Notamacropus eugenii: one gene and its partners. The protein of the gene in region 1 binds, or shares a complex with, the protein of each later gene. Links are inferred from orthologs where the notes say so. Each region holds a gene or a part of one and is shown in the gene's direction. Other genes may lie near its edges. The genes, in order: KRAS, phospholipase A and acyltransferase 3-like, RGL2 and MAPKAP1.

Region 1 (7,339 bases):
CTCTTAAATTCAGGACTCTGTGGGCTATATACTATAGTGCCTCTGTAAGAAGAGGGCAGCAGTGTCTGAATTCATAGTACTGAACAGAACAGAAGCAGAGGGCTACTGGTTGAGATACAAAGGGGGTGAATAAGAAGCTAGAAAAGCTGCTAGCACATTGTTATGTTTTTTGTCAGTTTTCAGATGGGGAGCTGGATAAAGGAGAGCTGTTTCTCCAGAATGTATTTGGGAAAGACACTCATTTGGGGCAATATTTGCTGAGAAAGTTTCTGTTTCATTTCCTTTGTTACAACTAATGATTTTGTGATCTTAGACCTTTAATGATCTATGCTGTGGTTTGCTTGCATTTTTTTTTCTGTTAGCATGGCTATATCTGAATATCTAGACCCCCAATTTATTTCAGATATCTTCCCATCCACGATTACCATATTATTATATTATGTTATATTAATCATATCATATCATAACATATATCATATCATATTACATTACATCATGTCATATATATTATGTTTATAATATATCAATTATATTATTTATATCAATTATTATATTATCATCAGTGTGTTTATGAAGTGAGTAGAATCTAGTCCAAGTGAACGAGTAATTTGCAAGCCCCTGGAATTCAGATAACTTGTCTTTGTTATCTTCAGGGTTAGTCCATTTCTCTTCACATAGGTTCTTGCTATTTATTAAAGATGATAAACCTAGCATTAAGATACATTGGTCTGGCAATATGTTGGGTCTATCAGAGGACAGAGAACTTGAAGGCTATTGTAGCAATCTAGGGATGGGGATGAGGACTTGTACTCTGTACTCCAATAGTACTCTTACTGTAAGACAGTGAGAATGCAGAGGAAAAAACTGATAAGAAAAGATGTCTTGAGAAGATATGATGACTTGGATGTGTGGGATGAATAATAATTTTTTCTACTCTTGAAATGTTCCCCTCCTCTTTAAAAAAATTTTTATGCATATATTTTGTTTTTCTATCACTTATATTAACCAAATATCTTTCACCCTACTCTCTTTCCAAGAGATATTTTCTTATAACTGTGGAATCATATTAAACCCCTTTTTTTGTTCATCTGAAAATATCAAGAAATAAATATTAATCTAGTCTAAAGTCCTTTTTCCTGTAGGAAAGTGTGGAAAAGGTCAATAATAAAAGCTAAGGTCCCAAGAATATGAATTCAATATGGTACCCAAACTTAGACGCCAAAAAAAGGAGTTAAGATCATTGCTTTTCCATCTCTGGAGGAGAAAGGCTGTGACCTACTTTGGGACATTGCCCTCTTCATTCAAGAAGCATTTATTAAATTCTTACTATTAAGTTCAGGGGAAACAAATACAAGCAGAAACAGCTTGCCTTCAACTAGTTTACATTCTAGTGACTGGGAAAGAATACATAGAAGGATATTGAAAAACCTGAGTGGGTGGGGACAAGAAGAAGGGATGAAGGTCCCTGGGGAGTGGAGGGGATTGGCATCAGGTCCTGGTAATGAAAGTCTGGGACAGTATGGAGAGCAGTTTAGAGAAGATTTGACTGGCCTGGTTGCCCTCCCTAAATTGCAGGTTCTGAAGGAACTAGGCAATTAGTGGGACAGGCAGTGGGGGAGAAAGGTAGCTCCTATGTGTGAAGTCAGAGTATCATGAGCTTTCAGGGTAAAGCAGTTCCTGAAACTATACAGTTGGGGGTCGATGAAGACTGAGGACAAAGGATTAAGATACTGATTACCTGAGAGAGAAAGCTTTTTTTAATCCTGGTAGGTGGGTGGGGAGTGGTCAAAAGAAGAATTGAATGCCCTTAGGAGAAGTTTTCAGTGACTTATTCTATTAGATTGAATAGAAGGTTTATTCAAAATTGAATAAATTCCTGTGAATATTACCTCAAAGTTGCCTTAGGGTAGAGAGGAGAGAGAGAGAGAGAGAGAGAGAGAGAGAGAGAGAGAGAGAGAGAGAGAGAGAGAGAGAGAGAGAGAGAGAGAGAGAGAGTGTGTGACAATATGACATTTTGACTATTTTTCCAACCTACAGATGCCTGGATTTAGAACAAGATTAAATTAATTTCTGGATGACTTCTGCTAAAAACACAAAATATAGTATTATCTTTTCTTCAACATGATAAAGAATAAAGAGACAGTTCAGCAATATTAAACAGTATCAAAGTCTTACTTCATATTCAGTGCACCACACCAATAATCCCCCACCTCTGCAAAAAGGAGCCAAGGTATCTTTTCATTTGGAGCCATGCTCGGTCATTATAATTTCACAGTATTCAGTTGGGATCGTTTTGTTCTTGCTTTCTCCCCCATTTACATTCTAGTAATTAGTGAATATATTGTGCTTTCTTCACCATGCATCAGTTCATGTAAGTATTCCCATGCTTTTCTGTATTCATCATTTCTTATATCATATTCTATTTTTATATTTTCTTATATCACACTAACAATATTAATAATCAAGTAATATTGATTTAAATACATATAACCCTGGAAAAATAGGTGCTATTATTATCCCCATTTTACAGATGAGGAAACCAGGTTAGGAAAGGGAGTTTGAGTGAATTGACCAGAGTCACACACACAATATCAGTTTGAGGCAGGATTTGAATTCAGGTCTTCTTGATTTCAAATCTAGCAGTCTATCCACAATTCGACCTAGCTGGCACAAACAGTTCCTTCCCAGAGAAGAGGATAAACAATTATGCTGATAAAGCAAATACAAGAAAATTTTAGTTGGGAGAGAGTACTCGAGAGAAGGGGGAGGGGGGAGGGACACCAGAGTTGGGAGATTATGATAATAAAGGCTTCAGGCTGGAGGTAGCACTTCCGTTGAGCTTTGAAGGAAATAAGGGATTTTAAGAGGCAGAGGTGAGGCTGGAATGTATTTCAAATCTGGGGAACAGGTAGCCTTCAAAGACTTGGGTTCCAGTGTTTGACATCTATTGACTGGCTGACCTTGGACAAGTCACGCCCTCTCCTAAACCGCTCTTTCCTGGGTTCTTAACGCTTTTTGGGGGGGGAGGGGGAATGAAGGTGTGGGTGTGTCACAGTCCCCTTTGATAGTCTATGGAATCCAGTAGATACAGGCATGTTTCCAAAACAGTTCAGAAGGATTTGTGATTTAAAAAAATGCTATGAGAAAGAACCGATGGACTCTGAATGCAGAATGAATGAAGCACATTTTTTTCTTTTATTATTTTTGCTTGTTGGTCTGAGTTTTCTTCTGCAACTTGGCTAATATCGAACTGTTTTGAATGACCGCACAAGTGTAATCTATATAAAATGGCTTGCCTTCTCAAAAAGGGGGGTAGGGACGGATTAGGAACTCAAATTTTTTTTAAAAAAGAGTATTAAAATTTTACTGTACACGTGATTAAAGTAAAATGCCTGAAATAAAATACAAAGTTTAACAACGGGAACTCGTATTGGAGTTATTTTTTTTAAAGTTGGCGGACCCCAGCTCCAAGACTACCAATTGTGCTGCCGGTGCTCACCCACATTTGTAAAGGGGGAGGGGGCTCCCAATACCAACGGAACACAGGTAGAGAGGGGGAAGGAAGAGGCGCGGGATCGGGGACGGAGAGTCCTCCCGTGCAGCAGGACAGGCTTTGCGGGCGGGGAGAGGAGGCGCCGGAGCCGGGCTTTGCCCGCCGAGGTGGATGGACAGAGCCGAGGGCCATGAGGACGCGAAGAGCAGAAGACGCGCTCGGGGCACCTGGGCAGGCCCGTCCGCGGCTCTAGACTAGGGGCGGAACAAGGGAGCTTCTCCAGCTCGGAGGGTGCCTGCGGGGAGACCCGAAGGTGTGGCGGCTCGCTCCGACTCGATGTGTAGGAGGGGGAGGAGAGTGTCTACGACCAGAGACAAGGTGAGTGGCTGGAGAGCCGCGTGGGCGGGAGTGCGGCCGGAGGGCGGAAGGGGATTGGCCAGCTGGCAGCCTCTGTGTGTATGTGGATGGATGGGTGTGTGTGGTGGGGGGGCGGAAGGGGGCCGCTACTCTGTCAGGCTGGGCGTGGAGTTAGCCAGTGCTCTAGCCTCTCCTCCTCTAGCCTAGCTCCGCCCTCACGTGAGGTGCGCCGCCTGCCCCAACTCTCTTCCTCCTTCTCCACTTAGCAGTTCGAGCTCAGTTCTCGCCTGACTCCCTCCTTCTTTCTCTCTTCACACCGCCCTGGCCGTTCCCTCTTCTCTCTCGCCCGCCCGAAAAGAAGTCGAACGCGGAACTCATCGATAGCTCGGCCTTCGCGGCTCGCATCCATTCGCTCGGGACTCGACTTCCCCAGGCGGTGGCGGCGGCGGCGGCGGCGGCAGAGGCGGCAGCAGCAGCGGTGGCTGCGCCTCGGGCTCCGGCTCCTTCTGCGCTCCCCGGCCCCCGCCATTTCAGAGTGGGCTCGAGAGCGGCGTTAACGCAGGCGGCCGTGCGGGCCCGAGACGCAGCGTCTCTCCGGCGCGGAAGAGAGGTACGGGCCCTGCCGCCCTCCCCCCTGAGTCCCTGCCCGGGGTCCGACCTTTTCTCGCCGGCGCCAGGCTGGGCGGGGCGGACGGAGAGTGAATGAATTAGGGGTCCTCGCGGGGGTGGGGGGTGGGAGGGACGGAGCGGCGGCGAGGACGGGCTGGGGGGGGGGGGGGTGCAGGGAGAGGCTGCCGCCGCTTCCTGAACGGGAATCCCCTTCCTTCTTTCCTTTCTTTCTTCCTTCCTCCCTCCCTCCCCGGAGAGCCGGCCGGGCTCGAGGCGAGCTGAAACTCGGCCGGCCCGAGGGCGGGTCCGGGCGTGGTGGAGGTTGCGCCCCGGTCTGCCCGTCGGTGGGTCGGCGCACTCCCTCCTGGCCGGCTCCCCGCCTCGGCTGCCCGGCGACGTCCCCCCTGCCGCCCTCAGCATCTCCCCGAGCGAGCGAGAAACTTCTTTTGCCGCCGCCGCCGCCGCTAAGTGGTCTTCTTCCTTGTGAACAAAGACTCTGTGTGTGTTGTGTGTGTTTGTGTGTTGTTGGGCGGGGGGGGTCCTTTCCCAAGAGAACTGAGAAGTAGGCAGAGACTCGGTGTCGGAGGTTACGTTGGGGAGGGTCCTGCTGCAGCCGCCGAATTCCCTCTGTGGCTCGGCAAGTGGCAGCAGAAAGCTCCAGGTGGACGGAATTAAACCTGGCAGGAGTTGTAAACGGAAAATGGTTTATCCCGGAGAATTTTGCTGAGTCAAGTTTATTTATAAGCAAGAAAAAAAATCAGCCACAAACTAAAAGTGGTTATCTCTGGTGAAGAACGCAGAACACGTTCACCATCCTGGAAGTTACTACAGTAATACCGAGCTGTAACCGAACTCCAACATTTAGCAATAATGACCAGTGGCGAGGACCTGGTAGTGGCCGCCAAAACAACCTAGTGCAGCCTTTTGATCAGGTGTGTGTATGTGTTATAGCTAAAGCTGCAGACTGGCTGATGTTTACAAGTGCAGTAGTAAGCATAGAGAATTAGAGAAGGGAAAATGGCTATTGATATCCAGACAGTCTTAACATTAGTCATTGATTGATGTCCATATTGATGGACTCAGCTTCAGAATGATAAGACTTTATTCACTGAAGGTAGTTGATGGCAATTAGGTGTTGTTTGGAACCTAAGACATGTTCAGATGTAGCCTGTTTTAAAAACTTGAATTTTCAGAGAGAGGTAAATTAAGAGAATATTATTTACCTTAAAATGCTCAATTTCTTTTCTTGACTATGCACTGTCACTTAACCTCTTTCTGACTCAATTTTCTCATTTGTACAGTGATGAGCTTGGGGTGGTGTAGTGGATGCAGTGCTAGGCTTGAAGTCAGAAAGGCCTAAGTTCAGATCCAGCCTCAGACACTTACTAGCTGTGTGGCCCTGGTCAAGTCACTTAACCTCACTTTATCCGTAAAACGAGGATAGTAATAGCAGCTATTCCCCCGGGTTGTTGTGAGAATCAGATGAGATAATCATAGTTGTAAAGCACTTGGCATAGTCCCTAAAACTATCTAAAGTGCAGAGAATACTTTGGTACAGAGAATTTCCTCACCTCGAAGTTCCCTAAACCTTTGAAGTGAGAGTCTATCCCTATCCTTTGAATGAAATTAATGCAAGGAACACCAGATTGCTAAATTAGTAAAAACAGCAAGTTGATTTTGAATCTTAGCCTTGTTACTGTGAATCAGTGGGCACTCAGTTCATTTTTCTAAACCTTAATTTTTTCATTCATAAACTTACCCAGATAGCCTGAGGGGAGAGGGTTGGACTAGATGATTTCTAAGGTCCCTTTCAGTTCTAAATACTATGAACCTATAATATAAAGGATTTAAATAAGTAGATTTGAGGGGAAGACCCTCAAATGAGTAAAGGCACTGATAGAAAAGCATGTGACTGTTCAGCCACTGTGGACTCTTAAGTGTTCCATTTTGGCAGTACCATAGAGTATATGAAGGAAAGTAGTACAAGAGAAATCTGGAGACTGGAGCAGGATTGTGGAGGTCATAAATGTCAGACCAAGGATTTTGCACTTCATGGTTAACTTTCATTGAGTTAGTACTTGCTTTTTGGACTTTAAGGTAAGCAGTTTTGGGGTGGGGGGCAGGCGTAGGAGCTGGGAGTTGAAGTTATGGCACAGATTCTACATTTATTTAGCACACTGTGCTGTTTGCTAGTGCGCAGAGCAAAAGGAAAGAGCTCTCCCCCCTTCAACGAGCTTACATTCTATTCATGGAAATAGCATGGGCATATGAAATACAATACAAAGTATACACAGGATTAATATGAGTTAATTTGGGAAGGCATTAGCAACTTTTGTGAATCAGGAAAGGCCTTGCATAGGAACTGCTACTTAAACTTTGAAGCATGGTAGGTTTTCTCCATGCTGTTTGTTGTTGACATTACACAAGGAGGGCCAAATAGCACAAGATTCCTTGCTGTAGTGGCTAAGAACTAGGCTAATGCAAGTTCCTTGTTCTCATGTTGGAGGGAAATGAGTATGGAACAAGATAAATTAAAAGGCTATTCTTTACCTGGCACAAAAACTTTTGGAGCCTAAGGACATTACCTGTTGGAGAGTAGGCTGGGGAATGGTATATTTGACAAACTAGAATATTTGGATTTTGATCTGTTTGGATATTTCTTATTCTTGTGTGAGCCAAATAGATAGACCTTCTGTGTTTTTTTTTCTATGTACACTTATGTACAGACACTGAATATATTTGTATGTGCATTCATTCACACTTCAGTAATTTGTTCAGGAACTGATATCTAATTTTGGATTATTGTCAGTTCCCTTCTAAATGGTATTGATTGGCCTTTCTTACATGTACTTCTTTTTTCTTTGGTTCCATAAAGGAAAT
Region 2 (7,223 bases), on another chromosome or scaffold:
ACTTCCTAGTTTGACATTTTGAAATAGGAACTTTTTGTTTGACCTTCAAAGTAATCTAGTATACAGGATGATGGGTACATTTGGGAGCTAAGAGTAGGGTGAAATATTCTAGTGACCTCTTGGGCCTGGGGAGCAGAGAAGTTGGGTCATAATAGATGTCCTAGTGCCAAATCTAAATAGGTGGTGACCAGGGTTAATTTGTCCCTGGTGGTGGATGGTGGCAGCTCAGGAGATGCGGACCCCACCCACCCAAGGTGTCCTGGGCTGGACAGGGAGGAGGTCATGGTGCCGTTCGTTCATCCTGTCTCTGGTCACTGACTGATGGGAATAGAACTAGGAAGTTGGTTAAATCAACTTGGGCTGCTGTTTTGTTTTATTTATTAGAAAACCAGCTGGATCCTCTTACTCCAGTTGCTCAAACATTGAAAATGTCCCTCTAGGCCCTAAATAGAATCAGGGATAGGAGAGGTCTATGACCTGGCTTCTGGGAGCTTGCCCTGCAGGGGCCAGTAGCTCTGAAGGCAGCTCTGAGGGGCTCTCAATAGACTTTGAAAAATCTTTCCTTAACAGACCAAGATTACTGTTTTGTTGTCCATGTGGGGATTCCAATGTGTGCCAAAGCAAAGAATGCACTTCGTCTGATTCCCAAAGATTCCTGATTTAGATACTGGTCAGAGGGTCACCTGTCAGCCCTCTGTTTTACCAGGGAGCCTCTCACGTAGGCTGCAGGTGACTTTGGTCCAACACGGACTCCCACCCAGCAGGTTGTCTGTTTTTTAGTTTGTTAGCTTGGAAAAGTGCAATCAGATGAGTGTGTATCCATCCATCCGTACGCTGGACTCTAACCAGAAGTGTGCATGTCTCTGTATCACATACACTGAGAGTTGTGAGATTGTGTAATGGAATAAAGACCACAACCTGTTTGCATCTGCATTCTGCCTTTTCTTCACTCTTGGAGACTTCTCAAAGAAACAGGACCCCTGAGAGAGGTGCTGTAACTTAAGGGACAGCATGCCCTGGGGTGTGACTCTGGTGAAAGTCCTTTCCCCTCATTGAGCCAACATTTCCTCATTTGTAAAATCAAGAGTTTGGATTGGGAAATTTCTTAGGTCCTTTCTAGCTCTTTAGTCTAGGAAACTTGGATGACCCATCCTCCTCCTCCTCCCTAGCTAGCTGCCCTCCTCACCTGACACATTATTGAGCTAATGGGTGTTGTTTAAAAAGAGGAAATCAAAAGTTTCCTTGTTAGTTCCTTAGGATCCTGTAGAGAAGGGTTACATGTGCACCTTTCAGACCTAGCTGGGGACAGAAGACCGCAGCCCACGCTTCTTCCTCTTGGTTGAACTTGCTGATGGCTTTGGGGGTTTTAGTGCTGGTTGGAGTAGAAAGGTGTAGGAGGGCCAAGAACTCTCCTCCATTTTTGCTCCCTAAACTTTCAGGTCTGGTTCAGGATCCCAGGGTCCTTAGTGATTCCAGGGGGATGAGCAATGCCCATGGAAACCACTCTAATCTCCCTCAAAGCTGGGGAGAAGTGAGTGGGATAGTCCTCTAAAAATGGCCCCTTACCTCTCTCTAGCGCTCTGGATACTGCCAAATGTGGACGATGAAGATGCTGGGCAGAGGTCTCCAGAGCGTTTATGTGCCCAGTTTAAAGGGCAGAGGGCTGGATATCTATTCATCTGGCAGACAGCGTGTGGCTGTGTTAGCCTACACTTGGTTTGGCTGGAGCCAGAGGCCCACAGAGAGGTGACATTCTGAGAAAGACACAACCCTCCCCCCTGCATGTGTGGTTCTGCCAATCCATGTGTGCTGCTGGCTCATTTTAGGGCACCTACTCTAGGAAGACTTGGAAACAGAACGAGGAATGTGGTGAGGTGCAAAGGGAACTAGAGGCAGTGTGAGCAAACCCTTTCCCTTTGACCTGTTTCCCCTGTGTGAAACAACAGGGGCTGTCCCCAGGCCCACATTTCTGGGCAGTTTCCAGCTCTTATGTGTTAGGATTGGTGATCGTAAAGGACACAGCCAGTCACTTTTCTTGGCTTGTTCCAGGAGCTTGTGGCTCTCTGTTGCTTCTGACACAAATTACAAACTCCAACCTTGCATTTAAAAGCCTTTAAGACTTGATTCTGACCTATCTCAAACACATTTGTGTCAAACTAGCCCATTGGCTATGCCCAGTCCATGGCATTTCCTGTGCCATCCTCATGCCTTTGTAGAGTCCAGTGCTCTATTGCCAAGACCACCTGGCTACTTGACTGATGACCAGCCTTCAATGTGTGTGTAGTTATTGTCTTTGTAGCAGATTAGAGCAGCTCTAGGGAGAGGACGGGGCAGAGGTGGGTATAGTGCCCAGGACAACCTTTGTCCAGAGCTAGGGGAGCAGGGAGGTGAGGGTGGATGTTGCTGGGAGAGGATGAGGACCTCTACCTTAAATGTAGAGGTCCTTAAATGGCAAAAGACTACCCTTCAAAGAAGGCTACTTTTATTGGGATGGGCTTTCCTTTAACAGACACCCTAATCTCTCTACCACTTTAGATAGTCTTGGAGTGATCCTTTGCCTGGAAAATTGACCCGAGGCTAACCTAGTATTGCCAAATATAGCTGGGCTGGTCCCTGAGAGACAATATTCAAAGCCAATCTCTCTGGTAACACCAATGACAGCCTCTGAGACTCCAGTGCCTCCGAGGAGGCAGAGGTGGCCAGGAGAGCTAGCTAGTAGCCTAGAGCTTCAGAGGACGTCCCTGGGTATCCAACCCAGCCAACCTGCTGCCCAGACTGTGCTCAGAGACTGTAAGGGGTCCCCACCACCTCCTGAGGCATCTCATCCCCTTTTGGGGGGGAGTTCAGATTGTTGCCAAATTTTCCCTGATGGCCAGTCTTACTCTGCCTTCTGCACTAGAATGACACATGCTGGAAGATGCCTGACGTGGCCCCCCTCAGCCTTCTTTTCTCCAAGCTCGTGATCCCTAGATCCTCATTTTTTAGGAATAAAGACGTAAAGCTGGACCTTTGAGGTCGCCCAGTCCAACTGTTCTATTTTACAGATGAGAGAACCAAGGGCCAGGGAAGGTGTGACATCCAAGGTCACACAGGTAGCAAGTAGCTGAGCTGGAATTTACCCCTGAACCCGTTATTCCAAATTCAGTATTTTCACTCAGAAAAGATCCCAAGAAGACCAGAAAACTGATCTTGTTAGATGACCCTGATTAGGGGTAAATGTAAATTTTCCACTTGGGTTCAAAAAATCAACTTCCTAAGTATAAGAAGAGGGAGTTCTGGTTAGTTATCAGTTTTCTTGAAGAAGATCCAGGGGTCACAGTGGACTTCAAATTCAATATGAGCCCATAGTTTGATAGATAAGATAGGGCAGCCAAGAAAGCTTATGCTGTGTTAGGCTGCTTTAAGTGAGGCCTGGCCTGGGAGTTGGGAAGAAGGGGGCTGTGTTATCTGTTCTGGTCAGGGCACATGTGGAAGACCATTGAGCTGCAGGTTGTCCAGAGGAGGGCAGTGAGGACCTCCGCACAGGAAGATCAGTTGGGATACAGCATGACCTAGAGCTAGATGTCTGTACTTGTAGTCAGGGAGATGCAAGTCCAAATCCTCTCTCAGACATCAGCTGTGTGACCTTGGGCAGGTTACATAACCACTCTGAGACTCAGTTTCCCCATCTATAAAATGGAAATAATGCCTATAGCTCTTAAATCACAAGGTCGTGGTAATCTGATGAAATTCCATCTGGAAATCATGTTATTTAACATTAGTCAGGAAAGTCCCTTCCCCTCCCTGGGCCTCAGTTTCCTTATCTGTAACATGTGAAGGTTGGAGGGTCCTTTCCAGTTGTAGACCTGTGATTCCATGATCATCCTTACTTTCCCTTGAAGGACCTGGGAAAAGCCAGCCTGGAAAAGAGAAAACGTATGGGGTCCACTAAGGCCGGGTTGGAGTGGACTGAAAGGGCTGTCCCAGAGCGGAGTGGGATGGGGGCGCGGGGCGTATTAGACTTGATTGATGTGGCCCCAGAGGGCAGAGTTGGGACCGCTTTGGGGAGCGCAGGGTCGGCTTCTCTCCGAGCCGCCCAGGAGTAGAAAGGGCTGCCTGAATAGGTGCTGGGCTCCCCATCCCGAGGTCTTCCAGCAAAGGCTAGGGCGTGGGGGTGGTTACACTGGCGAAGGTCTGAGATTACAAGGGAGGGGCTGCGGTCTCAGAGCACAGCTGACATTCCCCGCAGGCTGCCAGGCTGAGGGTTGGGTCAGTACACGACGTTGTCCACATGTCCGAGCCCAGAGCCAAGCCCGCCCACGGCCGGCGGGAGGGTGGGAGCCGCAGCCCTGCGGCTAGCTGGGACCTTTGCATACTAGCTGAGTTTCCAGGCTGGGCCAGCATCCCCGCTCCCAGGGTACCACGAGGCCACCTGTGCTCGGCTGTCACGGAGGCGACTTTCGCTTTCAGGGTAAGCTGCGCTCTTTGGTCTGGGCGGAGTCGGGCTGACCCAGTCACAGCTGTGCGCCGGACCTCCTGCAGACGTCCTGCCTGCTGGAGTCATCCCCGCCGCTGCTGGATCATCAGTCAAGGCCCAGGAAGCTCAGGTGGGTTGGCCAAGGTGGGATGCCCCGTGCTCTCGGTGTGTTTGTATGTGTCCTCTGGGCCCTCCAGGGGCGGCTCTAGATGATTGATCTTTGCACTGGAGCAGGCAGGGGAGAAGGGCGGGGCAGGGCACCTGTGGTCCAGGGCAGTGCCCAGCTCCCCCTCCTCCCCACCCGTTGGGGGAGGCGTTCTCGCCCAGAGAGCGCTTTCTGGCAGAAAGTGTCGGAGTCAGCAGGTTCCCACTGGCACAGACAGCTGTCAGTAGTGAGCCGCGATCGTGCCAGGCCGGAGCCTCAGCCCTCGCCTCCCAGGTATCTATGCTCCTCTTCTCAGTGGTCCATGTAGGTCCAATGAAGGTTTAAGGAACGCCCTGCTCGCTGCCAAATGGGACCAGGAGGGGAGGGATGGAGAACAAGTGCCTAGGCTCTGGCAAGCAAGAGGCGGGGTCCAGCCTCCAGCTCCGCTGGCCTCAGGGACCCCACCCTCACCTCCCCTTTCACCACCAAGACCTTCTATTCTTACTTCCTGTTATCGACACTAGAGATTCTTACCATTTCTTCTCAGGAATCCTCCAACGGCTAAGGAAGTGGCATCCACACCCTGAGGGCTGACAGAGATGCAAGTAGGTACTTTTAAAGCGTTTGTAAGTCACTACAGTAAGGATTAGTGCTTGGCCCTTGTAGGTGGGGACTTGAGGGGAGAGAGGTTAGTAAACCCTAAAGCCACGGCTCTTGAGGGCCCTTTGGCCTCACTTGCAACGTGAGACCAGGCTTTCTTTTCATTTTGTTTACCAGGCAAGCACTCACTGCTGGCTGCCCAGCAAGATACAGAATCTGCCTATTATTCAGAGGAAGTATCGGGAATTCATTTGTGGGCTGGTCGCAGGACAATAGGGGCATAGAATGGAGCTGGATAAAGACAGAGCTAGCAGAGAAATAGAACCTTCTTTAGCAAGAGCACAGAATGGGTGTGCGGCCACTGGAGCAAGATCTGGAGGAACACAGGTCAGGGAGGCCTGAAGCCTCATACCAGATGGCTCAATGTTTGTTCTAGATGGGCTTGCCAACTCACTTGGTGACCAGAGCTTCAAAGCCTTCCAGGTTTCAGTTTTGCTTTAGTCTGAAACTTAAGCTTAAAGAAAGAAAAGACTTTCCTTTTTGTGAACACAGGACAGGGTACAAAAGTTGGGCAGTGGAAGTGAAACTGAGAACATTGTCAGAGCTGGGGGAGAGGGTCTTGAGATACGAGATGTCTTAACCTGCTTAACCCAGAGGAGAGTGGTGCAGGATGTCAGAGCTAGAATGTCAGAGTTGGGGGGGGGGGTGTCTCAGAGCATGGTATGTCAGACTTGGAGGGGTCTTAGAACAGGATGTCAGAGTTAAGGGGTCTTGGAACAGGATGTCAGAGCTGGGGGGTCTTGGAGCACAGAATGTCAGCATTGAGTCTTAGAACAGGATGTCAGATTTGGGGGGGTCTCAGCATGGGATGTCAGAGTTGGGGGATCTTGGAGTACGGGCTGTCAGAATTTCCATCACATCCATAGGCCTCTGCTGATATTTAAAGAAAAGAGGATGTTTTCTCATCCTTCTTCCCATTCTCTTGATTTGTGAGCCTGTAGAGCCCTAAGGGTTGGCATCTCTGAGAGGTGCAAACTGCTCACTGCTTCCAGAGGCAAAGTGCACTGTATATAGGACAGGAATAACTTGGGTGCTCAGGAGCGTTCTGCCAGAGTCTTCTGGAGATGAGTCTCCCAAGCAGCCATGACAGCAGCCAGAGCAGGAGGTGGGGTAATGCAGAGGACCTCACCAAAAAAGTGGAGTAGATTTGGCCCACATGGGGAAATCTGAGGGAACTGGGAGGGCTCCCTGCCAAAACATATCAGGATGTACCATCCTCAGGAATTTCATAATTAGAGATTCATTCCTTTGACTTAAGACTGTGTGCCTCTGAGGGAAATTCCTGGGAAAGGGATAAGAATTTAAGTCACCATCAGTTGTGATACCTTACTAAGAGTTAGTTGAACTAGTTTCTCTTAATGTTCTGGATTCGTTTGTAACCTGTATGAGTTATAGATGGTAGAGGACATGTTTTTTGATTGAGGGAAGCAGAGAAAGATGCCAGTTGAGGGCTTGGGTCATCTTTTGCCCATGGGAATTGGCTGGAATTAGTCAAGCATTGCATCATGTCCCAAAAGAGAGAGTAAGGTCAAAGAGGAATCTTGCCTCCTTCCCAGTTTTGCTTAGTACTGGCCAGGTCTGACGTTTAGATTTCTTTTGCCATGGTCACCAAGGAGGGCCTTCGAGGCACTACCATGGCAGTAGGGGAAGGGTGATACCCTGGATCCTCTCTGTTTGGACCAGGAGAAAGTAGAGGACAGCACAACACAGGCCATATTCTGGGTAACAAGGCTCTCGCCTCTGTCTGCTTGCTTTAGCATCACCCCCAGTGCCAAGTCTGGGCACATGCCCTGCTGTAAGAATGAGAGGTGACAGATGACAGCTGTCCAAGGGAGCTGCCCATAACTGGGAGGTCCTGGCATGTGTCCTCCTTTCTATCAGCTTTACTCTCTCCTAATGGGTTGATTCAAACGCCAGTTTCTCTGAAGGGGGAACTCCTCCCCCCAACCCTATGACTTCCAT
Region 3 (7,131 bases), on another chromosome or scaffold:
GGCTATATCAGTGACTACACAGATCTCAAGGCTGAGAAGGGTTAGCCTTTCAAGGGTCATAATGCTCTAGATTCTGATACACCCCTCCCATCTCAGGCACCCATCTGCTGGGCCCTGTCCTTCACAAGACTGAGTACAAAACGATACTATGTAGGAGCACAGAAATGTTGTCATGGTCACCAGGGAACTGAGAAAGGGAGTTAATGTCAAGGTGACCAGGGGCAGGGCAAAGTGCAAGGGTCTTCCTGCCTGGTTAACTGATGGAAAGATAGAAATTGGATCAAGAGAAAGGATATTGAGAGATGGGCCCCCTAAGTGGAGTGTCCTCATTAATTCAATTTCTCTGCATTTTTTCCCATTTCACAAATTCTTTCCCATTCTTCCCTACGTTCCTATTTCCTTTTACCATCCCCAATCTTCTCCCATACCACCAATTCTCATTCACTCTATCCACTTTCTCCACTCATTTCTCTCCCTTTTGCTGCATTCCTACTAATTCATGCCCAATTCTCTTCCTTTCTCCCCATTTCTCCATCCCAAAAGCTGTGTTGACGGTCCTTTCTCACTCTCCTGCTGCCCTGGTGAGGCCTGGTAAGAATGCCACGTTGGACTTGAGTTTTACTTACTTGCCTCCCAACTCTGGTGGGGCCCCTTCTTCCCTGGGCCCCCCTCCCTTCGGGTTGGAGTGGCGGCGCCAGCATCGGGGGACTGGACAGCTGCTCTTGGCCGTGACTCCAGGACTGAGCAGCCAGGCCCTAGGGTCTCCAGAGGGGGCAGTGGCATTTGCTGCCTGGGACGAGGAAGGAGTAGAGGGCCCATGGAGTGGGAATGGGACTCTCCTGCTGCCCACCGTACAGCCTCACCAGGAGGGTACTTACCTGGCTACCATCCACCTTCCTCACCTGCAAGCCCAAGTAGCCCTAGAGCTGGAAATACGGAGTAAGTGAGGGAGAGGACTGGACAGTGGAATACCTGAAGTAGGGAAAGGGGCCTGCGACTGAGATGGGGAGGGGGAGTGGGATGTGTGGAGAGACATTGAGTCCCTAGGGGTATTGAAGGCAAGATTGAACTGGGAAGAGAAAGGGTTTCTGGGGACTGGGAAGAGGTCAGTTAAGGCTCCCTAGGGGAAGACAGATGAAACTAAATGGTATAACTGTGTTTGATTACCTCCTTGGCACTGATAATCACAATACTCTTCCTCCTTCCTGCAGAGCCCCCAAAAGTGACCCTGACCCCATCACCTATGGTCTGGGCATACCCAGGGCAAGCTCCTCCAGAGCTCCTCTGCCTCATTTCCCATTTCTACCCTCCGGAAGAGCTAGAAGTGACTTGGGAGTTTTGGAATCGTACAGGAGGAGGGAGCAGGGTGGCAGATGGCCAAGCCTGGCGCTCCAGCTACCGCTATCACCCAGATGGCACCGTCAGCATCTCAGCATACCTGCGCCCTGCCACGGTTACAGTGGAGCAGCATGGTTCCCGCTATGTCTGCCGGGTCCACCACTCCAGCCTGAAAACCAAAGGACTCAGTGCCCAGGTGTCTTTAGAAGTGGCAGGTAAGGAAGGACAGGGTGATGGGAGAGGAAGAAGCCTGTGGGTCCAAAGGGCTGGGAGCAGAAATCCCAGACAGAACAGATATGATCTCCCCTCCACCCCCAGGAGTCTCTGGGCCTTCCTTGGAAGATGGAGTAGGGTTGTTCCTCTCAGCATTTCTCCTTCTCGGGATCATCAAAGGAATGGGGTGGGTTGGTAAGTCTCTGTTCCTCATCCTCAAATCTGGGGGCTCCTCCCCACAAAAAACCTGGGAAAGGCTAGTCCCCTAAAACTTCACCCTATCAGTCCTCCAAACAGCAAGACCCTTGGGCCATACTGCTGAAATTTTTATTCACTATTTCAAAATCCCACCTTCATTCTTCTCCTTTTATAGAAATTTCTGCATATGCTCCCCTCCCACACACCCCAATACATAACACTTCACAGGCCTGAGGTATGTAACCAGTCACCATTCTCACCTCCATCTCTCCTCCACAGCATCCTTCCTGTCTCCTTCCACAGATACAAAGGAAAAGGTAACTAGCTCCCTGGTGGCTTACATCCTACTGTACTCTCTTAAAATAGAATTTCAGCCCCCATTTCATCTGATCCATTACCCATATAGACTTTTTATTTTCCCTACTATCAGTCTTTAAAGTCACCCTACTGTACCTCCTAAAATTCCTAGTGGTCCTGACCTTGGGCAAATTACTTGTCATATCTAGGGCTCAGCTTCCTCATTTGTAAAATGGGGTGTGTGTGTGTGTGTGTGTGTGTGTGTGTGTGTGTGTGTGTGTGTGTGTGTGTGTGTGTGTGAGAGAGAATTCGTTTACTTAACTCCCCAATGCCCCCTATTGCCTATGATGCTGCACTTTCATTTTTTTTCATTCTTGCTTCCAGAAATCTCACTGAAAAAAAGATACAGGTGCTTAGAGCTCCAAGAGAGTAGGGGCCGATTGATAAGGCGGATCGGAGGTGGTTTGGCTAAGGAAAAGTGTGTCTGTCAGGAGAATAAAGCTGGATTAAACAGAATAGTTCCAGTTGTGGTTAATGCATCCTATGATGTCCCTGTTCCCTCTGCCCCACATCTCTTCTATATTCTTAACTACTGAAGTTTAACTAGGTTTTTTTCACCTAGGGCAAAAACAGTAGAGACCTCCCCTCCAAGAGGAAGTGGGGGAATGTGGTGCCCAATTTTTAGGTGTGTGGTGTGTGTGTGTGCCTCTCCCCACACCAATAGGGTGAGAAGCTTGGCTGTTCTGGAGAGGGAGGAAGGCTTCCAGGAGCTCTGGGCAAAAAATGGGGGACACTTCAAAGTCTCAGTTGCGTCCAGACCTTGAGAAGGTGGTGGACAGCATGAAGTATTCTAAAAAGGCTCTCAAGAATTCAAGCGACTGAGGCCAGGCTATTCAAGGAGGGAGATTAGTTTAGCACGATCTAGAGCGTTGCCGGGGAGACCTGGCACCTGGGACTTCAGGGATGGTGCAGGAAGAGAGGGGCTTCAATTCATCAGTCGAGACCCCAGCAGAAGTAAGTCCCGGGACGATGAACCCGAGGTCTCGGGGGAAGTTGCTGGGGTGGGAAAGGACCTGTGGGTTCCCCTCCCTATCTTCCACTAGCTGATAACCCTCTCTTTTAGCCCGGGAGAGCTCTGCCCCTTGCGTCACCATTGTTTTGGGGTTCAGCTCTAGTAAGGACCGGTCCCCAGGATCCGCACTTGTGTACCCAGGCTCCTCCTTCATTGCGGCAACCCCTTCTTCCCTGGGCGCTGAGGCGGCTTGGGGAAGCTGGGAATGCGGAGTCCCCAACCTTTCCCACTGGCCCGTCCTCAGGTGAGGGGGGCGGAGCTAGGATTCTGGTCCTCAGACTGCGGTGGAGAGAAAGGGACCCCATGTGCCAGCGCCAGGACCAAGCCCTATCCTGTCCGCCCTGGTTACGGTTCTGCCGCAGCCCCTCCCCTGGCAGGTGCCCACCTGCCTCTCAATAGTGCGCATGTTTGGAAAACAGGTACAGAATGGAAGGACCCTGGAAAACGGGCTCGCCCAGCTCCAAAGAAGGAGCCTCGGCCCGGGAGAGCCTAAATCCCGGAGCCCAGGGATCCGGAAGAGGTTACGGTAGCTCACCCGAACGCTCTCCTCCGCCCCCCAAACCCTGCGGGCCTCGTGGAAAACCCGTACTGGATTCCATCTCCGCCCCATTCCCGAATAAGAGCGAGGAAGGGAGGTGGCGCGAATTAACGGGACACAGTCCCAGTCCAGAACACTCCTGGCTGCGAGGACCCTGGTCATTTTCCCTAACTGGACGGGCGTGGGAGTGGGCTGTAAAAACTAGAACTTGGGGACCGGATTCCCCAAAGAGGGAAGGCTTCGGGGCTGGGGCTGGGGGGTCTTGGATGCCTGGCTATCTGATGGGGTGACCCCCCCCGCCCATCATACACCCAATGTCCGGGCTCTGGGCACACACCTCCCCCTCTCGCCTCCCTGTCCTTTACTTCCTTCCCTATTTGACTCCTGCCCTCTGAGCGGGCGGACGCCGGCAAGGAGGAGGGAGGGGGAGGAGGAGCGGAAAGGGAGGGGGGGGGGCGGAAAAGACAGGGAGGGGACTCGGGGCCCCGGCCTGAGACCGACGGGAACAGCTGCCCCGAGGCCCGTGCCGCCCCTGCTCCGCCCGGAGCCAGGTCAGAGCCCCAGAGCCCCTCTCTGCGCCCAGACGCCGTCCCCTCCCCTGGGTCGGCTCCCAAACTCTCTCCGCCCTCCTCCTGCCAGATTCCCCACATACCACCCCCTACACAAGTCCTCTCCCAGCCCGCACCCACCCAAGCCTCCCTCCCTGGTCCCCCACTCCGACACAGCGTCCCCCCATCCCCGCATCTAATGAACTTGGGCAGCTGCGCCTGGCTCCGACCTCGGGTCCTCGCTCCCCAGCCCCTCCCTGGTGGTCCTGCCCCGCCTTCCCCCACCTTGACGCCCCTCCTTCCTTGTTTCTTCCCAGGCAGCCCCATGGCTCGACCCCGTTGACTCCCTAAGCCCTGATCTCAGCCATGCTCCCCAGGCCCCTGCGGCTGCTGCTGGACTCTGGAGGGGCCTCCCCTGGGGGAGTCGTGCTGAGCGGCTTTAGGAGCCGGGACCCCGAAGGGGGCGGGGGCCCAGGGGTGGGCGGGGAGGAAGAGGAGGAGGAGGAAGAGGAAGAGGTGAGACTTGGGGGTAGCTGGAGGGCGACGTGCGCCCGAAAAGTGTGCCTTCTTGCAGGTCTCTTCTTTCTCTCTCCTACGTCTGCCTCTGGTTTTGTCTCTGGCTCCGGGTCCAGGCTCCGGGTCCCTGTCTGTCTATCTGACTGCCGGCCCCCCTGTCCCCCTGTCACTGTATCTCTTAACTCTGCACCCTCCGTGTCCCTCTCCGGCCCTTTGCCCTGCTGCTGTGCTGTCTCCTTGTTGTTGTTTGGGGAGGAGGGGTTTGTTTCCACAGTAACTCGATCCTCTTGATCTGGGATTGGGGAGGAAGCCCTCAGATTTGTGACCCCTCCCCTAAGCCATAAGGGAGAGCCTGGGGGAAAGGCCCAGGAGCTTCCTCCTCTCCTGGGAGGGGCAGCGCCGAGGCCCAGGGGTGGAGGTGGAGGTGCTGGGTGTCTGGGTGATGGAGGGTCAGATGCCAGAGTTTCTCCGGGGATTGGAGCTGTGTGTGGGGCCTGAGGGCCTGCACTCCTCGGTCCCTGGGCTGGGTTGGAGGATGTGACCTGCTGGGCTGGTTTTTCGGGATTGGGCGGGGGAGGGACTGGGGCCACGTGACTTTTGAGTTTTTCTCCTCCCCCACTCCAGCTCCCAAGTAACCCCACTTCCCCTTCTCCTTTCTGCCTTAGGATCGGAGTTGCTACCTTGGGAAGGGGTCCTTGGGGGTTGAGAGGAAGGAAAGACAGAGGATTTGGGGGGAACTCATTGAGGGATAAGGCTGAGGAGCAGGGAGGGGACAGGGTCATTCCCCAGACTCAGACACTACCTTGATTGGGGGGGGTGGGGGTGGAGAGGAGAATAGAAGTGAAACTATGTAACTCAAGTTTCAATTTCTTTCTCCCCAAATCCCCGAGTCTCCTTGTCTCCATTGCTTTCCGCTTCTTTGCCATTGTCTTGCCGTTGTTTAAGGGTTCGGCTCTGGGAGGGAGGGGCCCCCAGAATCTGGGCTTGTGTACCCAGCGTCCCCCTTCACTGCAGCCCCCCCCTCTGCGCCGGGCACTGAGGCGGCTTGGGGGGGGCTGCCTCATTCCCAAGGCAGGGGATGCAGGGTGCACTCCCCGAACCCGCTGGTACTGCCCCCCTCCTCAGGTGATGGAGCAAACTTTGAGAGTGAAAGGGGGATGATCGGGGAGGTGGGGAGGCAGCTCAGTCAGCTCAGATGAATTGGTGCTGACTGGGCCCCACCCCTTCCCTTTCCAGGCCCCGGTGTCTGTCTGGGATGAAGATGAGGACGATGCCACCTTCACTGTCACAAGTCGTCAGTATCGACCTCTCAGTCCCTTGGTGAGATCCTCTTGTCTGACTTCTATGCCTTTATCTCCCTTGTCTCCTACAATCCAACTTCCTGAAAATAGCATTGAAACTAGGGTCAAGAGACCTGGATTCTAGTCTCTGCTCTGCCGCTGATTCTATTATTTTCAGCAAGAAACTCTGTCTTTGAGCTTCAGTTTCTTTATACTTCCAATTTCTAACCCTTCTAAGACACCTGGTGACTCTTCTGCTGACGCCACAGATATCCTAGAGTTCCTCAAGTCATCTCCACTGGCTAGCTCTTACACGTAGTCATTTGAATCTGACTTCTTAATTGGGGGGGAGTAAGTGAAGAGTCAGTAACCCCATCCCCTCTTCTGCAGGTTCCTATGCCTCCTCCTCGTTGTACCCGTCGACTTCGGGCTGGGACTCTATCTGCTTTGGTCAGACATCTGCTGGATGCCCAGACGTCTGGGTCTGACGTGACCTTTATGCCAGCCTTTTTGGCCACCCACAGGGCATTCACCTCCACACCAATCGTACTTGGATTGTTGGTTGACAGGTCAGTGGGAATGGGAGATTGGAGTGTCTGAGGAGTCACCTGGCCAGAGAAGTCAGAGGCCACAGGGTGTTTAGGTAGGATGGATAGATGGACTTCTCTCTCTTCCTTCCAGACTGGAGGCTCTGGAGTCCAGTCCCAGTGCTGATTTGGAAAGGACAAGAGGGTGAGTGACCCCTGAACCTTTGACCTCCTGATCCCACTCTACCCTAGCCATGGCTTAACCCCAGCTTGATTTCTTACACCAGGCTGATCCCCTCCCCCCATAGGTTAACCATCTCTGTTCTGTCAACCTGGCTGACCTCTCACCCTGAGGATTTTGACTCTGAGGTCAGGGGTCAGCTTGACCGGCTTGAGAGCTTCCTGCTACGGACAGGGGATGCAGCAGGGGAGGTTGTTGGGGGGGACATCGTTGATCTCATCAGAGATCTCCGATCCCGGGTGGCCCTCCCAGCCCCTGACCCTCCTAAGCCCCTGGTCCCCCCTGGCGATCCCCCTGCTGACCCCACGGATGTCCTGGTGTTCCTCGCTGACCACTTGGCCGAGCAGCTGACCCTGCTGGATG
Region 4 (7,136 bases), on another chromosome or scaffold:
ATCTATTTTGGACTCCTTCTGAGCCCAACATAACACACCATGCTACATGTTGGGGATACCTATTTCTTTTGGAGAATTACCTTTGTTCTATTTAGTCTCTCAGGATTCTAACCTCTGTACTTTCCTTAATTCCTCACGCTGACCTCATCCCACATATACAATCAATTCCACCTTCTATATCTTTTGCATCTAACCCCTCTTCTCTACTCACACAGCTCCCATTTAAATTCAGACTTAAAAATCACTTTTCACCTAAATTATTGCACCAGTCTCCTAACTGATCTCTCTGTCTCAAGTCTCTCTCCACTCTAGTCTGACCTATATCCTGCTGCTAAATGATTTTCCTTCATGGAAGATCTGACCATGTCAGTCTCCTACTAGATTTATTCTAGCGGGTCACTACTGCCTCTAACATTGAATATAAAGCCCTGTGATTAGCTTTTAAAGCCCTTCACAACTTAGCTCCAACAGATCTTTGCAGACTCATGAATATTACCTCTTGTCCCATTCAGCCAAACTAACTTTCACTCTGTTCCTCACACATGCCACACTCTTTCATCTTCTGTCTTTTTCCTGGCTATCCCCAAGGACTAGAAGGTAACCTGCTTTATGATGCAGCTCAAGTACTATCTTCTACAATACAGCCTTTCATAATCTCCCCAACAGCTAGTACCCTTCCTCCCAAGAGATCTTGTATTTAATAACTTGATATTTATTCTCATATATTTTAATATGTACTTGTTATCTCCTCACTCCCACCCTCCCCATTAGAATGTAAACTCCTTGCCAGTAAGGAGTGTTTCAGATTTTGTATCCTAGTGCCTTACATAATGTCCAGTATATAAATGTTTTCTGATTGATGAGTTGATAGAAGAAACCTAACAGTCTTGTGCCATCAAACAAATATTTGTCCAAAATACTATTTGTGGTATAGTTAGAAAAGGCCTGGTGTTAGAGACATAAGATCCAGGCTTCTCAGATGTAAGCTGTTAATCTTCTTATGATGGGTGGGTGGGTGGGGGGAGTCAAATTGTTTCTGACATTAAGTAGACCTAATCACAGAATGTCAGAGCACAAACACAGAGAGACAGGAGAGGGCAGGACATACCTAGGGATAAAAATGATAGCTTAGATTTACTTAGTGTTTTCAATCAATCAATCAATAAGCAGAGTGCATGAAGATTAGTGGAGTGAAATAAAGCAGGAAAGGTAGGTTTTACTCAGATGAGAGGTCATACATACAAGATCAGGCATTTGAATTTTATGCTATAAAAAATAGGGAGTCCACTGAAAATTTTTTGTGCAGGTGAATATGTTTGTAAACTCAGTCCCAAAGCCCGATGTCTTGCTGCAATATAGCAACACCTGTAGAATGTTAGTTTTAAAAAGATAAGCCTTTGCTTTTGGGGGCAGTAAAAGAAAAAAAAAATTATATACGCTAGAAAGTGGAGCAAAAATAAGAATTTAGTGTTAACTCAGTCCTCGCAAAGTAGGAGAGGCAAACAAGAAAGCAGAAAAGTAACACTACATTCAGAGAGCAATGAATAAAGTGTTCTCTTGAAATGTGGATGTCAGGTTTACTGATTAGTCGCTGATGATGTTTGTAACAAAGTCCCCAAGTATAAGATTCTCTCTTCTTATTAGTGGAGATCAATGTTTCTTGCTTACGTGAAGGGTCAGATAAGAGTTGTTGAGATTGGGAAAGAAGAAAGTTCTTCACTTTCCTTTGAGTCTTCTTTGAGTCATCATTTGAGTATTTTTGGGTGCTTCTGTCTCTGGACATTTCTGGCTTTCAGCTTCAAGAGAGAAGATGGAAAATGCCACTTCAGGTTGCTGAAGTAAAAGACTGGCAAGAAGCTAATAGAAGAAGAGCTGTCAGTCTGGCAGTCTCCATCTTGTTTTTTTCCCCAGCTTGCCTTTGCCTCTCTCTGTCTCTCTCCATGAATTACCTGGCTTTCACTGGTAGAGCTCCTTTTCTTTGTATTTTCTGGTATATAATCTCTGATTTCTGTTTTGCTACTGATTCTTGGATTAAGTACTATGTGTCTTTACTGAGGAACTGGTATCTGGTGGGAAATGAGTCAAACCTTGGATAGAAAACCTGGGATCTTGCTCCCCCTTGATAATTATCAGGGATCAGAAGTTAGCTTGAACTTTAAAACCTTATCCTTCTTAGACTAACAATATTAAGGTAGCAGATAGATATTATTCTAGCATGGTCTCTCTGAGGAGAGCAGTATGCCCTGTGGGCTTCAACTTCTTGCTTCCCCTCAGGCAGGAACTAAAGTTTCCTTTGGAAAAGGGGCTAAAGATGTCAACTCTGCCTCCCTTTGAATCACACAATAACATCCCTATGCTACATATGGGAGGACAGCCCCGTGTAACACATAGGGCCATGACACATATTCAAGTCTGTTCGTTGATTTTTCTGGTCAGAACATCCCCTAGGAAAGTAATCTTGAGTCAGGGACTAAAGTTTTCTCAAATCACAACTGCTCACCACAGAGTACTGGGCTTGGAGTCAGGAGTCAGGAGTCCTAAACTCCTCAAGCTACTTACTAGCTGTATGACCTTTGGCAAGGTGTTTCTCCTTTCTGAACCTATGTTCTTGTTTGGTAAAAGGATAATTGATCTAGAGCTGTAAGGGACCTCAGTGGCTATCTAATTCAACCTCCTTCTTCTACAAGAAGAAAGCTAGGCACAGGGAGGTGCACAATGTCAGAGAGGTAGTGAGCCAAAGACAGAGTGTAGTTTGAAATAGATCACTTCTAAGTCTATTCTGGGCAACTAGGTGGTACAATGGATAGCATGCCAGGTCTGGAGTCAGGAAGATTTATTTTCCTGAGTTCAAATCTGACTTTAGACACTTTCTAGTTGTGTGACCCTGGGCAAGTCACTTAGCCCTGTTTGCCTCCATTTCCTCATCTGTAAAATGAGCCAGAGAAGAAAATGGCAAACCACTCCAATCTTGCCAAGAAAACTCCAAATGGGGTCATAAAAAGTTGGACATGACTAAACAACAACGAAGTATCATTCCAGTTTTAGATATTATGAAACTTATGAAGGGGAAGGGAAGTCAAATCAAAAAGCATTTATATTAAGTGCCCATATATACCAGGCACTGTGTCAATCATGGGGGGATACAAAGAAAGGTAAAAACAATTCCTTCCCTTAAGGAGCTCACAATCTAATAGGACAGATAAAGCTTAACTTAAAAATAAATAAGTCTGTTCCCTGTCTGCAACCAAAGTACCTATGTTAAGAATTCTAGCTTTGAAATCGGAGGAATTGGGTTTAAAACAATGCTCACTTAACTACACGTATGACATAGTAGATCACGTATTTTCAGTGTGTCCAGGGGTGAAGGGTCTGCAAGGTCAAAACTATTTTCATCATGATACTAAGATACGATTTACCTATTAAAATACTTTTACCTTCTCCAAATACATATCTGTATGAGGCTGGATTTCTTCACACATTTCAACCAAAGCAACACATTGAATGCAGCTTCTATGAACCTATCTGTCCTCTAGTAAGCCAGACGTTAAAACGATTTGCTAAAATATATAAAGCAACGCCAATCTTCTAATTTTTTCTGTTTGGGAAAAGTGATTTTCATAAATAGTATGTTATTTATGTTAACCTAATGGATTTGCTATTTTAAATCAGTAATAAGTGTTTTTTCCTAAAAGGTATCAGTTTTAATTTCTAATGCAATAAATAACGTTTTAAAACATATAAAAGCCGTCCAAGATGCTCAGTACTTTTTAAGAGTGTAAAGAGGTCGTCAAAAGACCCCAAAGTTTAAGAACTGCTGCAGCAGAGAATACCCCTGGGTAGCAGGAACAGAATCTGCTCAATCCTCCTGGGCCTCCGTTTCCTCCTTTTAAAATGAACAGATTTGGATCAGATAGTTTTAAAAGTCTTTTGGACCCTAACCTGTGATACCGTGAGCTCCAGTTCCAATGACACCTGTCCGATCTGAAACAGCCAGGGAACTCACTCAAAAGCCGGTGGGGGCGGGGGGGAGGGGGGGGGGGGAGGAGCAATGGCGCATGCGCAGAGCCCCTGCGCCGGTCTGGGTCACAGCTAGAGGAAGGAGCTTTCGCTGCTGGAGCTTGCGCACTGAGGACCTCAGAGTGACTTCCGGTGCGGCCACCTGGGGTGAATCGGGGTCGGGTTCAGGGTGGCACAGGGAAGCCAGAGATGCAGTTCCGGGGCACGGCACAGTGCCTGAGCTTCTGAGCTGTGGCTCAGGCTGCGGGGGCCGCGGGGCCGGTCCGAACCTGGCTTGGGGCAGGAGGAGAGCCCCGGAAAGTGGAGCGGAACCGGTCCTGGGAGGAGGGCCCCGGCCCAGATACCGACCCTCCTCCCACCCCCCGCGCCCAAGCCCCGAGGATTCCAGTAAGTGCGGAGGTGCCGAGGGAGCCGCGGGCCCATCCGGGGACGGGGCTAGTACCGTTGCCCTCCTCCCTACGGGCGGGTGGTGGAGGGAGGGGGTGCTGCGTGAGGACCCTGGAGTCCTCGCCTTGTGTGGGGAGCGGCAGGCTCGGGGGTTGGGCCCGGCCTGGCGTGGGTGCCCGGTCCTGCCTGTCTCTGGGGAGGAGTGACCAGGGTTACCTCCACCGGCACCCTTGCCCCTTGCATTGGGAGCAGCTCTGCCCCCTCCGACCCGCAGGAAGTGAGCCTTCCTCCTTCCACAGGCGCGGGGTGGTGGTGGTGGTGGTGGCCTCTGTGCCACTAGACCCCGGCCTCCTTTTAACCTCTGCCTCAGTTTACTCATCTATAAAATGGGGACAGGGATGGAACCTACCTTGAAACGTTGTTGTGAGGATCAAATGAGACGGTATCTGTGAAAAGCGCGTGGCACGGTGCTTGGCGCAAAGAACGCGCTGTGTATTCTTTGCCCTCCCCACTTTGGATTTTGGGGGTGATGTGGATAGAGCCACTTCTGGGTGGAAGTAGATCGATAGTGAATGCAGGCCGGTTATATTTCAGTGTATCACAGCAACTTGACAGTCAAGTCAGTAGGCATTTATTGAGCCCTTACTGAATGCCGATCACTGTGCAAAGCGCAGAGGATACAAAGAAATGCAGAAATGATCCCTGATCTCTTAGAGCTTACATTCTACTGGGGAAAACAACATACAGCCAACCTTGTACATACAAGATATATGCAGGGTGAAATGGAAGTAATAGGGGAAGAAGCACTAAGATTGAGGACTGGGAAAGGCATTTTGCACAAAGTGGGAGAGTTAACCCCAAACTTCAGTGAAGTCAGGAAGCAGAGATGACCAGGGAGAAAGGAGAGTTCCAAGCATGGGGGACAGCCAGTAAAAGATATCTGGAGTTGGAGGTGGATTGTCTTGTGAGAGACAAAAAGGCCAGTGTTGGACTTTAGAACATATGGGGAGGGGAGGGGGTAAAGCCTAAGAAGACTGGAAAGGTAGGAAGGAGCTAAGGCCTAAAGAGCCTTTGAAGCTAAATAGAATTTTCTGTTTTGTCCTGGATGTGATAAGGAGTCATACGAGTTTCTTGACTAGGGGTATGACATGGTCAGACCTGAACCTTTCTTAGGAAGATCAGTTTAACAATTGAATGAAGGATGGACTGGAGTGGGGAAAGATTTCAGGCAGGGAGATAGACTAGAAAGCTATTACAATAGTCCAGGCTAGGATGATGATTATCACCTGGTTGGTGGTAGTCAGAAGAGAAAAGAAGACATATAGGACACATGTGTGGAGGGTTAAATGGAGAGGAGTTGGAGGCTGGGAACGGAAGGGGAGGAGAGTGAAGAATTGAGGATAACAATTAGTTTTTGAGTCTGGATAACTGGGAGGATGGCTTTTATAGTAAAAGGGAAGTTCAGAAGAGGGGAGTGTTTTGGGAACATATAATGAATTTAGTTTTGGATATGTATTACAGTTGTGTCACAGACTGAGTTAAATCAGGGAAGCATCATTGTAGAGGCAAAACTAATTCTTGGTTCCCACTCACCTTTCTTTTATTCCACTTCACACATACTCTATTCCAATCAAATCAGCCTGCTAGCAAACTCTTCCCTATACTTGACTTTTTTCTCCCACCTCAGGTGTTTTGGTCTTTGTAGAGGCCATCCATATCCCTCTTTGGAAAACAGCTCTCTCATCTTAGCCTCCTACAGTCCCTAGCTTCCTTCAAAACACAGTTCAGATGTTACTTTCATTTGACTTTCCTAATCTTCCGTCTTTTGGAAATTACTTTGCATTACTTTGTCATACCTTTTTTACTTTAAAATACTTTCCATTTAGTATATGTGAAGCGTTTTGCGTAATTTTAAATCACTGTGTTTCTTTCTCATGCATTGAAAACTCCTTGAGGTCAGAAATGTTTTAGTTTAATATTCCAAGTGCTTACTTAGCACAGTACCTTGCATACAGATGCACAATAAACATTTATTGAATAGAAATTGGAAGGTACCATAGAATATAGTATGTTAGAGTAGCAAGGCATCTCATAATGTGTAATGTTAGAGCTGAGAGGATTCTTGGAACTTGGTATGTATACAGGATGTCCCAGTAGTCTTAGTGCAGACTTGGGACATCCTGTATTTCTGTGGCCGAACAGTAGTTTACTTAATTGCTCCACTATTTCATCTGAATGCTTCCTCTGCTAACTCCAAATACAAGCCTGCCATACTTTAGAAGACAGTTCTCTTGAGTTGTTTTGCCGGTCATCACCTGTTGGCCAACTTGCTAGTGAAAAGCAATTTAAGATGACTTTAAGGCTTTTTAGAGGGAGCTGACTCCCTGTTTCTTCTGCTTATTGGGTAAAACTTCAGAGTAAATACTGATTTTAATTTGTTGTCTTTCCACAAAGTTTTCATTCAACCTGTTTTGTTTTCATTAAGTGATATTCCCTTCCCTTCCCCTCTCCCAGCAGCTTTCTAAGTACTAACAAATTTAGAAAGCTGAACTGTTGCGGACATTTGCACATTCATAGAATGAAACCTGCACCATCAATATCTGCTAGATTTTAAGTGTCAAGTATGTATAGTAGGGATTAAACACTCATACCCACATTACCAGCGGTGTGAGGTCTTTGAAAATCACTTCTTTAAGTCACAGTTTTCTTTAAATAGTTTATCTGTAAAATGG

The links.
Region 2: the proteins of KRAS (region 1) and phospholipase A and acyltransferase 3-like are in contact, whole or in part, in a crystal structure (PDB 7C41), measured with the Homo sapiens proteins. The link is inferred for Notamacropus eugenii from reciprocal best matches to the Homo sapiens genes KRAS and PLAAT3. Residues at the interface, in NP_001356715.1 of Homo sapiens: Ala11, Gly13, Lys16, Ser17, Tyr32, Asp33, Pro34, Thr35, Ile36, Thr58, Ala59, Gly60, Gln61, Asn85, Asn86, Lys88, Asp92, Tyr96, Lys117; in NP_001121675.1 of Homo sapiens: Leu65, Tyr66, Asp67, Val68, Ala69, Gly70, Ser71, Asp72, Lys73, Tyr74.
Region 3: the proteins of KRAS (region 1) and RGL2 are in contact, whole or in part, in a crystal structure (PDB 8B69), measured with the Homo sapiens proteins. The link is inferred for Notamacropus eugenii from reciprocal best matches to the Homo sapiens genes KRAS and RGL2. Residues at the interface, in NP_001356715.1 of Homo sapiens: Ile24, Gln25, His27, Val29, Glu31, Asp33, Pro34, Thr35, Ile36, Glu37, Asp38, Ser39, Tyr40, Arg41, Lys42, Tyr64; in NP_004752.1 of Homo sapiens: Ile651, Arg653, Glu660, Asp661, Gly662, Ser663, Val664, Tyr665, Lys666, Ser667, Ile668, Leu669, Lys685, Lys686, Asn688, Arg689.
Region 4: the proteins of KRAS (region 1) and MAPKAP1 are in contact, whole or in part, in a crystal structure (PDB 7LC1), measured with the Homo sapiens proteins. The link is inferred for Notamacropus eugenii from reciprocal best matches to the Homo sapiens genes KRAS and MAPKAP1. Residues at the interface, in NP_001356715.1 of Homo sapiens: Ile21, His27, Val29, Glu31, Asp33, Pro34, Ile36, Glu37, Asp38, Ser39, Tyr40, Arg41, Leu56, Glu62, Glu63, Tyr64, Ser65, Ala66, Met67, Asp69, Gln70; in NP_001006618.1 of Homo sapiens: Phe280, His287, Gly288, Phe289, Ser290, Leu291, Ile292, Gln293, Lys307, Lys310, Arg311, Arg312, Lys313, Gly314, Ser315, Phe363, Glu365, Ile369, Val374, Met377, Leu378, Ser380, His381, Tyr484, Glu487, Ser488.

What each region holds. Positions count from the first base shown.
Region 1 is NC_092874.1:180,489,086-180,496,424, forward strand, and holds the start of KRAS (GTPase KRas), read left to right. Parts: upstream 1-4,332; 5' UTR 4,333-4,460; intron 4,461-4,879; exon of another isoform or gene 4,880-4,957; intron 4,958-7,339. UniProt on the Homo sapiens protein: Ras proteins bind GDP/GTP and possess intrinsic GTPase activity. Plays an important role in the regulation of cell proliferation.
Region 2 is NC_092873.1:16,507,216-16,514,438, reverse strand, and holds the start of phospholipase A and acyltransferase 3-like, read left to right. Parts: upstream 1-4,219; 5' UTR 4,220-4,586; exon of another isoform or gene 4,587-4,895; intron 4,896-5,148; 5' UTR 5,149-5,200; coding exon 5,201-5,206; intron 5,207-7,223. UniProt on the Homo sapiens protein: Exhibits both phospholipase A1/2 and acyltransferase activities. Shows phospholipase A1 (PLA1) and A2 (PLA2) activity, catalyzing the calcium-independent release of fatty acids from the sn-1 or sn-2 position of glycerophospholipids.
Region 3 is NC_092873.1:89,326,369-89,333,499, reverse strand, and holds the start of RGL2 (ral guanine nucleotide dissociation stimulator-like 2), read left to right. Parts: upstream 1-4,118; 5' UTR 4,119-4,207; intron 4,208-4,521; 5' UTR 4,522-4,570; coding exon 4,571-4,720; intron 4,721-4,759; exon of another isoform or gene 4,760-4,778; intron 4,779-5,319; exon of another isoform or gene 5,320-5,845; intron 5,846-5,956; coding exon 5,957-6,040; intron 6,041-6,390; coding exon 6,391-6,569; intron 6,570-6,681; coding exon 6,682-6,732; intron 6,733-6,814; coding exon 6,815-7,131. Other genes in the region: TAPBP (tapasin), read left to right, coding at 544-939, 1,212-1,553, 1,657-1,746, 2,029-2,066, 2,431-2,442. UniProt on the Homo sapiens protein: Probable guanine nucleotide exchange factor. Putative effector of Ras and/or Rap. Associates with the GTP-bound form of Rap 1A and H-Ras in vitro.
Region 4 is NC_092872.1:448,188,672-448,195,807, reverse strand, and holds the start of MAPKAP1 (target of rapamycin complex 2 subunit MAPKAP1), read left to right. Parts: upstream 1-4,122; 5' UTR 4,123-4,404; intron 4,405-7,136. UniProt on the Homo sapiens protein: Component of the mechanistic target of rapamycin complex 2 (mTORC2), which transduces signals from growth factors to pathways involved in proliferation, cytoskeletal organization, lipogenesis and anabolic output.